2 linked regions of the Danio rerio genome follow. The protein of the gene in region 1 purifies or fractionates together with the protein of each later gene. This does not show direct contact. Links are inferred from orthologs where the notes say so. Each region holds a gene or a part of one and is shown on either strand. Other genes may lie near its edges. The genes, in order: ikbkb and prkcq.

Region 1 (3,850 bases):
GAAAATGAAGCCAGTTATAATTTTTTTTTTGTTACATTTACTCTGTACGACATAATTATATATTTTTCTTTTTATAAATTTATTTAATTATTTTAAGTTGGCTTTATTTATAAGTAATAATTTATAATTATATAATAATAATAATTATTATTATTATTATCATTGTTATTATTATTATTGTTAATATTATTATTATTGTTATTATTATTACTATTATTATTTTTGTTTATTAATAATAGTCAAATAAAATACTAATATTGTTACTTTTTTGTTATATTGATGTTTTGACTCTCAACATGTGACTTTTTCAAAAAAAACAAAATAATAATAACAATAAAAATGTTAATAATTACAACAACAACAATATAAACAATAATTTGTATTGCTAATGCTCTTTTTTAAACCAAAAGTGGTGTAGTTTGAAAATTAAGACCGCTATAAAAAAATAAGAAATTTTTTTTTACATTTGTGCTGTAAAAAATTATATATATTTAAAATAAAATTAAATACAATTTTTACAGTTAAAGTTTCCTTAGTTTATTATTTTTTGTTCGTTTTTATATGATTTTATTTATTAATAATAATTAATAATTGTTATATCTTATAATAATAATACATTTTACTGTTTGAGTTTTAAAAAAAAAGAGCTCTATGTGGTGTAAAGTTTGAAAATACAGACCGCTATAAATAAAATACAATTTAATAAAACATTATTTTACATTTGTGCTGTACAACAAAATGGTTACATTTATTCTTAAATACTATTTTTACAGTTAAATAAAGTTTCCTTAATTTGTTAGTTTTTATTCATTTTTATTTGGTTTAATTTATTTGTAATACTAATTATAAATAATAATTACTAATTATTTTTTGTTAATAATATTCATTCATTCATTTTCTTTTTGGCTTAGTCCGTTTTTTTTAATCTGGGGTTGCCACAGAGGAATGAACCGCCAACTTATCCAGCAAATGTTTTATACCCCTCCAGCTGCAACCCATCACTGGGAAACGTTCATACACACCCATTCACACACACACACACACACACACACACACACACACACACGCGCGCTACGGACAATTTAGCCTACCCAATTCACCTGTACCGCATGTCTTTGGACTTACAGGGGAAACCGGAGCACCCGGAAGAAACCAATTCAAACATGTGGAGAACATGCAAACTACACAAAAAACGCCAACTGACCTAGGCAAGGCTCGAATTAGTGACCTTCTTGCAGTGAAGCTAACGTGCTACGCACTGTGCCACTGTGTAGAGTGTTTGGTGTTTCCCAGTCCTGGCCTGCGACTGGAAGGGCATCTGCTGGATATGTTAGCAGTTCATTCCGCTGTGGCGACCCCAGATTAATAAGGGACTAAGCTGAAAATAAAATAAATTGATGAATAATTTGGTAAAATACTAATACTTGTTAGAATGATGTTTTATGAATAGCCTCTGTCCAATGATTGCAGGCCAAACAGCAAAGCATCGCAAAGTTTTATTTTTTTTTATTGCAATAACACAAAAAAGATCAGAAAAACAAGAAACTTCCTTTTTTTGGTCAACCTTTACAATATGGATTCATTAGATAAATGTATTTACTAACATGAACTAATTATGAACAATATTTGTACAGCATTTATTAATCATAGCTTAACATTTACTAACGCATTATTAAAACCCAAATTCCTGCTTGTTAAGCCTAGTTAATGCACCATGAGTTAACATGAACTAACAATAAACAACTGTATTTCATTAACTAACATGGACGAATAACGTAATAAATGTTTTGTTCATTGCTTGTTCATGTTAGTAAATGCATTGACTAATACACCCTTATTGTACATTTTTTTCCACCAAATTGTGCAGCCATCACAAGATTATTAAACCAGTAAATAGAGTGATCACAGTTTTTTAGGTTGAACTTTAAGCTATAAAGATGCGTTTCAGACTGTTAGCTGGTGAGCTGGAGCGCTGGCTGCAGATGATGCTGAGATGGTCACCTAAAGAGCGAGGAAAAGACTTAAAACAGCGCAACAAAGAGAGTCAGGAGACGCCCAAAGATGCAGAAGAGGAGAGTAAAGAAACCAGTCCAGAGGGTGCCAAAGATGCTCCAAAAGCCCCCTGCTTCTGCTTTGATGAATTAAGCCACATTCTCAATCTAAAGGTAGGCTGAAGTTCAATAGTATGATCAGCAAGTCGCATAAAAATATTGGCTCGTTCACACTGAGCAATGTCGTTTAGTACTGTGCAGTATGCAATTATTTTCAATACCACTGTCAGTTGTGAATGGTATTAAAATAGCAAACTGTACTAGGGACCTGCCAAAATTTTTGACGGCCAAAATTAACGGCTGTAATGGCATTTTAGAAATATGGGCAAAAAAAATATGAGTTAAAAAAAAGGTTATGCTGCACCATAGTCGTGAAGTAGCTTTCACACCTGATGTGGAAAGCACTGTGCTATGAAACCAATTCATTTCAATGCACCATGCAAAGGCAGATCTTTTTGCTGCATCAATCAATGAGCAAGAGTAGTGGAGCACTTGCTGACGGTCAAAGAAAATAGCTCTATATACTGCTCTATGGATAGTCTGCTTATGTTCACGCATTGTATAGTTTAAGGTTTTCTATGCTGTTCTACTTACGAACTTATTAATTTGTGAATTGCACATGTTCACCAAATAAGCAAAGTCTACTCAAATAACACGCCGACAGGACATTAACTTGTAGTATACTTGTTCCTGCTGTCAAGGCAACACCGGTAAAATGATTCCTCTCGACTTGTTTACTGTCAGCAAGATGGGGTTATTTATTTGCCTGTGTTTTTTTTTTGGAATCAGAATAAGTCATACAAAATTCTATTAATAAAATAATAAATCATTGTTTCAAACAATTTTTGGTTTCAATTTTCACCCAAATGCATACAGAATTTTTAATTTTGGTCCAGAATTTGTATTTTTGTGCATCCTAAACATTCACATACCACATTTTTGGACCCATTCATAAGGCTAACTAGCCAAAGACTATAGACTACGCAAGACATGTCACTATTGTTTTAAATGGGGGAAAAGAGAAACGATCAATGTGGCTAATAAAGCCCACCTTCTAGTACAGGAGCCAATCGTTGATCGCTATATGGTAAATAAAGCCCGCCTTCTAGTACAAGAGCCAATCACCAATCGCTATAAAACAGGGCTATACAATTGGCGGCCTGCGAGCCGAACCTGGCCCCCGAGGCAATTTGTTCCGGCTCTTCAAACAGTGTGACCAAGACATCAAAATAAATTTAGTTCAGTCGAAAAGCTGCCACTGTAGTTATGAAGTGAAGTGCGTCTGTTCAATATAGCACAAGCTGCAGAGGCTGCGCAGAGAGCGAGTCACCTGACATTAAGCGAGTGGCGCAGGCAGCATTTAGATATGTTTGTAGAAAAGGCCTTTTGTACAATGCACTGATATCATTATTAGGGATGCAACGATTAGCCGATTTCACTATTAAGTGCGCTTTAATTTGCCACAGTATTTAAATAGCTACTTACCTAATATAAAGCTTGAATTTACATTATACATAATAACAAAATACTAAATAAAAAATAATAATAATAAAAAAGTCCATTGTACAATACAGTGATGTTATGTAGTTTCAAAATACAATATATTAACATTTTATTGTAGAAAAAGGCCAACGTGGGTGTCATAAGGAGCAAAAATACAGCATATGGGCTCTTATATGTAGTTGTATCATCACTCATATAGCAAGTCGTATCTCTCCGGCCCTTCGTTTGGGATGCTTTTCATGAAATGGCCCCCAAGACAAACTAATTGAATAGCCCTACTATAGACTGACAAAACT
Region 2 (4,455 bases), on another chromosome or scaffold:
GAGATTGCAGTATTCTGTAATAATGACAGCTGTTTGTGTCACTATCAATGAATTACAGCTGTAGTAATAGCGACACATCGAAGAACAACATAATAACATGTTTTTATTCCAAACTTGCCTCCACCTACAGTTGAGTGTTTGAAATAATTTATTCTGTGAGATGATTCCATAATTGTGTATTAAGTAGTCACACTGAATCAATAGCTATGTTTTCATCCACCTTTTTTTGGATATGCGTTTAAAAAATGGCTGATAGAAACAGTGAGATGGGCATGAATTTTAAAAAATTTTTGAAAACTTTTTATTCCATAAGAAAAAATTGTGCATAAACTTTTATGGAAACACTTTTACTAAACAAATTCCAGTATGCACATTAAAATCATGTGATTAAATAATTGATTAAAAAAAAAAAAAAAAAAAATATATATATATATATATATATATATATATATATATATATATATATATATATATATATATATATATATATATATATTGTAATAAGAGATCATGTGGTGATGAAAAATGTGTGAATGGACAAACCAGCAGGCTGAGCACATTGTAAAACATCTGAAATGTTGTTTTGTTCATTCTAAAATGCCTTTACTATTTTATAATATTAATGTTATTATATTATTAATCACTTTCAGAACTGTCAGGAGCATCTGTGCTCCACGTCTCACACCTTCAAACACCACCACATGTTCATTATGTGTCAGCATTGTCTTCTGAGGCACAAGTCATTTATTAAATAAGGAAAAGATTCATGCAGCTTCTCCTACCGCTGCAAATCCCATTTTTACTTTTGATGTTTGGCACCAGTTAATCAGGAAGTGACTCTCTTTGACTCGTTGGATGGAAGCAGAGTATAGTTTATACAGAGTAGTGAGTTTCCAAAAGAGAGCCCTGTGGCCCTTGAAGGAGATTTACCACAAATTCCTTGAAGATGTGACCAACAATCACAGCTTTGTTCAATCATAGCTGCAATTTCAATTCGATTAGTCGCCCATACCTAAATATGCCTTGCAACAAGCACCATATGTCGATTCAAAGATCAGCCAAGAAGTTGTCGAGAATGTGCCTTCAGCAGCCACCAAACTTCAAAATGTAAAATCTTTTGATTCAAAAACACAGAACAAAGTAATACACCGATGATGGCTTGAGAGTGATTAAATTATGGGGTAATTTTTTGGTAATTTAAGGTGTAAACTTGGGTGAACAATTCCTTTAAACTGCCTGGCTTCATATTGACTTCATAATGGCTTCATATTATGTACTTTCTCATTTATTATATTACATACAGCACATTTAGCAAAATAACGATTTCATTTATAAAAATAAAAATACATACTGTCTATAAAACACATCACAAGCAAGGTCTACTGTTGATTTTAATGTGTATATTAAAAGTTTATTCGAATATAAATACATCTGGACATGCATATTTATTGAACTTAACAAATGAAGTTGTTTCAAAGAAATCTGAGTGTGACTTGACACTTTATATTTTGACAGGTATGTGTGGTTGTGGTTGGTTCTACAGAATAAGACCAAGAGGTCTGCTAGAAACTCAAACTTGTGTCTGCAGAACTGATGCTTTGTGATAAGTGTGTTCGTGTGACCAATAATCATTTCATCTATGATTCTTAAGTAAATTAATGCTGCACATTAAAAAGAAATACCACACTTCTCAAAAACATGTAGTGGAGATAGGTTTTCAGATATACTTCCCTTCATAATATTATGAATGTTTGATTGTTTTGTTGTTGAAATTTTTTGACTCGTAAAATAGCACGTGAAATAATTAAACAGAAAAAGAAGGTCTTCATAAAGTATTAAGGCATTAAAAGTGCATTTAGTATCTTTAAAAAAAATCTTGAATTACATATTTAAAACTGACTGCATCTGTCTGCCATCATTATTTATTATTATTTTTTGCTGAAGTTAGTCTAATGACTGAAAGAAGAGACTGAGAACATGCTTCATGAATCACCATCTGAACAGTGAGTTTAATAAGACAGAAACAGATACTATATTTTTACTGACAATGACACAACCCGTATGACACACATTTCCATTAAGGCTGACACTTCACACATAATCCAACAATAGTAAGTTGCTAGAAACTTTGAGTGGATGTTGTGTTTGCTTTGACCTATAGTGGAAGTTGAGTAGGTGGGTCAAGCAGCAGTTTTTCCAATATGAGTAATTTTGTCGATGTAGATTTCTTTTTTTAATAATTAGCATGTTTAAAATGAAATATATTACAATTTTAGAATAAAATGGACTGTCTTCTTGCGACTTAAGTATCATAAATGCACTTGAATACAGATGTGGCTACTGAGAATGTGCGAGTATATATGTGTATGTGTGTGTATGTATATATATATATATTTATATATATATATACATATATATACATGTATATACATGTATATATATGTATATATATATATATATATATATATATATATATATATATATATATATATATATATATATATATATATATATATATATATATATATATATATGTATATGTATGTATATGTATGTATGTATATGTATGTATATGTATGTATATGTATGTATATATATGTATGTATGTATATATGTATATATATATATATATATATATATATATATATATATATATATATATATATATATATGTGTGTATGTATATGTATGTATATGTATATATATATATATATATATATATATATATATATATATATATATATATATATATATATATATATACATATACATACATATATATATATATATATATATATATATATATATATATATATATATATATATATATATATATATATATATATATATATATATATATATATATATATATGTGTGTGTGTATATATGTGTGTGTGTAGAAAGCATAACTTACCAGTCTCCACAGCCTCTTTCATGTAGACAGCACAGTATGGATTGAGCACTTCTTCATGATAGGCAAGTCCTGGGTCCATCTCAAAACTGGAGAAAGCAATCCTCAAAAACGGAGACATGACTGTAAACGCTCAGAAATATCCTCTGATAGACAGCGGCCCTTTGTTAATTCCACTTGGGAGATCTTCTGTATTGTTGATGGACTCTTATTTGATGCTAATATTCATATTTGTAATGTCGGTTACATGAGTTGTTTTACTCCAGTGACAGAAGAAGGCAATTAGCGTTTTGTCCTTAATTTTTTAGGTCAAGTGTTTGTTTTTTTTGTTCTGTGTCCATCAGATCTTTTTGCTGGTGGTGTAGAAGGAATGATGTCGAGATGAAAGTCTGCAAAAGTCAATAAACAGAATTAAGTGTTGTAAATGACTAGTAAATGCATAAATACAAGTGTAATAATATATAAATAATATAATTTGATAAATGAAGATTTATCCAAATGTAAGAAAACAAGAAAATGGTTTATATTTAATTATTAGTAAAAAAAAAAAAAAAACAGTTTTGGGGAAAAATGAGTGATTCAGAATTTATGGTATTCATTTCGAGGTGTTGTTTTAAGTAAATTTTTATGTGTTAAATATTTTCTATCAATATTTTCTATCTTTTTATTTGTCATGAATGAAAAATAATTTGGTGGGTTTTTTCACCCAAAAAATGTATTTCTTAGCTCTTCTAACAGTAGAAAAACAAATTATATAAACACGTATAAAAACCATTGTATTTATTTTATAAATTGGAGCAACTTGTATATGCAAACAAAGTCAATTTGAAATTAAACAAATACAAATAAATGAATACAAATGAATCCAAAAAATATAAATAAAATAAATAATAAAATAAAATAAATGAATTATTAATGAATAAAGAATTTAGAATAAATATATAATTGTGCTTATGCAATACAATGGTTGATTTAGTTTTTTTGTTTTTAATAAAACTTCTTAATAATAATAACAATAATACTAAATAAATAAATAAATTAAAATTATGTGAAGAAATAATATTAAATAAATAAAATAAAGGAATATCAATAAATAAAACCAAATAAATTGGTTGTTGATTTTTTTGTATAGTTGATAAAACATAATAATACTATATTTTATTATTATTATTATTATTATTATTATTATTATTATTAAATATAAATAAAAATAAAAATAATGAATGAAATAAATAGATAAACAAAAATTAAATGGATAAAAATAAATAAATAAATAAATAAATACATATTAATAAATGAATTTAGAATAAATATAGAATTTTGAATAGACTTTTAAGGTTAATAAAACTTAGTCAATTAACTAAATAATACGAAATAAATAAATCAAAAATCTAAATAAATAAAAATAATAGATTAGCAAAATAAATTAGGAATTTAGAAAAAAATGTATGATTTTTGTTATGAAAATTAGTGGTTGATTTTTTTTTAAGTAATAAAACTTAGTTAATTAACTAACAAAAATATCAATTAGTTAATTGCAGCAA

What was found.
Region 2: the proteins of ikbkb (region 1) and prkcq purify together in Homo sapiens (affinity purification with western blotting; 4 studies listed by BioGRID). This does not show direct contact. The link is inferred for Danio rerio from reciprocal best matches to the Homo sapiens genes IKBKB and PRKCQ.

What each region holds. Positions count from the first base shown.
Region 1 is NC_133183.1:3,589,822-3,593,671, forward strand, and holds part of ikbkb (inhibitor of nuclear factor kappa-B kinase subunit beta), read left to right. Parts: intron 1-1,948; coding exon 1,949-2,165; intron 2,166-3,850.
Region 2 is NC_133179.1:26,061,715-26,066,169, reverse strand, and holds the start of prkcq (protein kinase C theta type), read right to left. Parts: upstream 3,033-4,455; coding exon 2,915-3,032; intron 1-2,914. UniProt on the Homo sapiens protein: Calcium-independent, phospholipid- and diacylglycerol (DAG)-dependent serine/threonine-protein kinase that mediates non-redundant functions in T-cell receptor (TCR) signaling, including T-cells activation, proliferation, differentiation and survival, by mediating activation of multiple transcription factors such as NF-kappa-B, JUN, NFATC1 and NFATC2.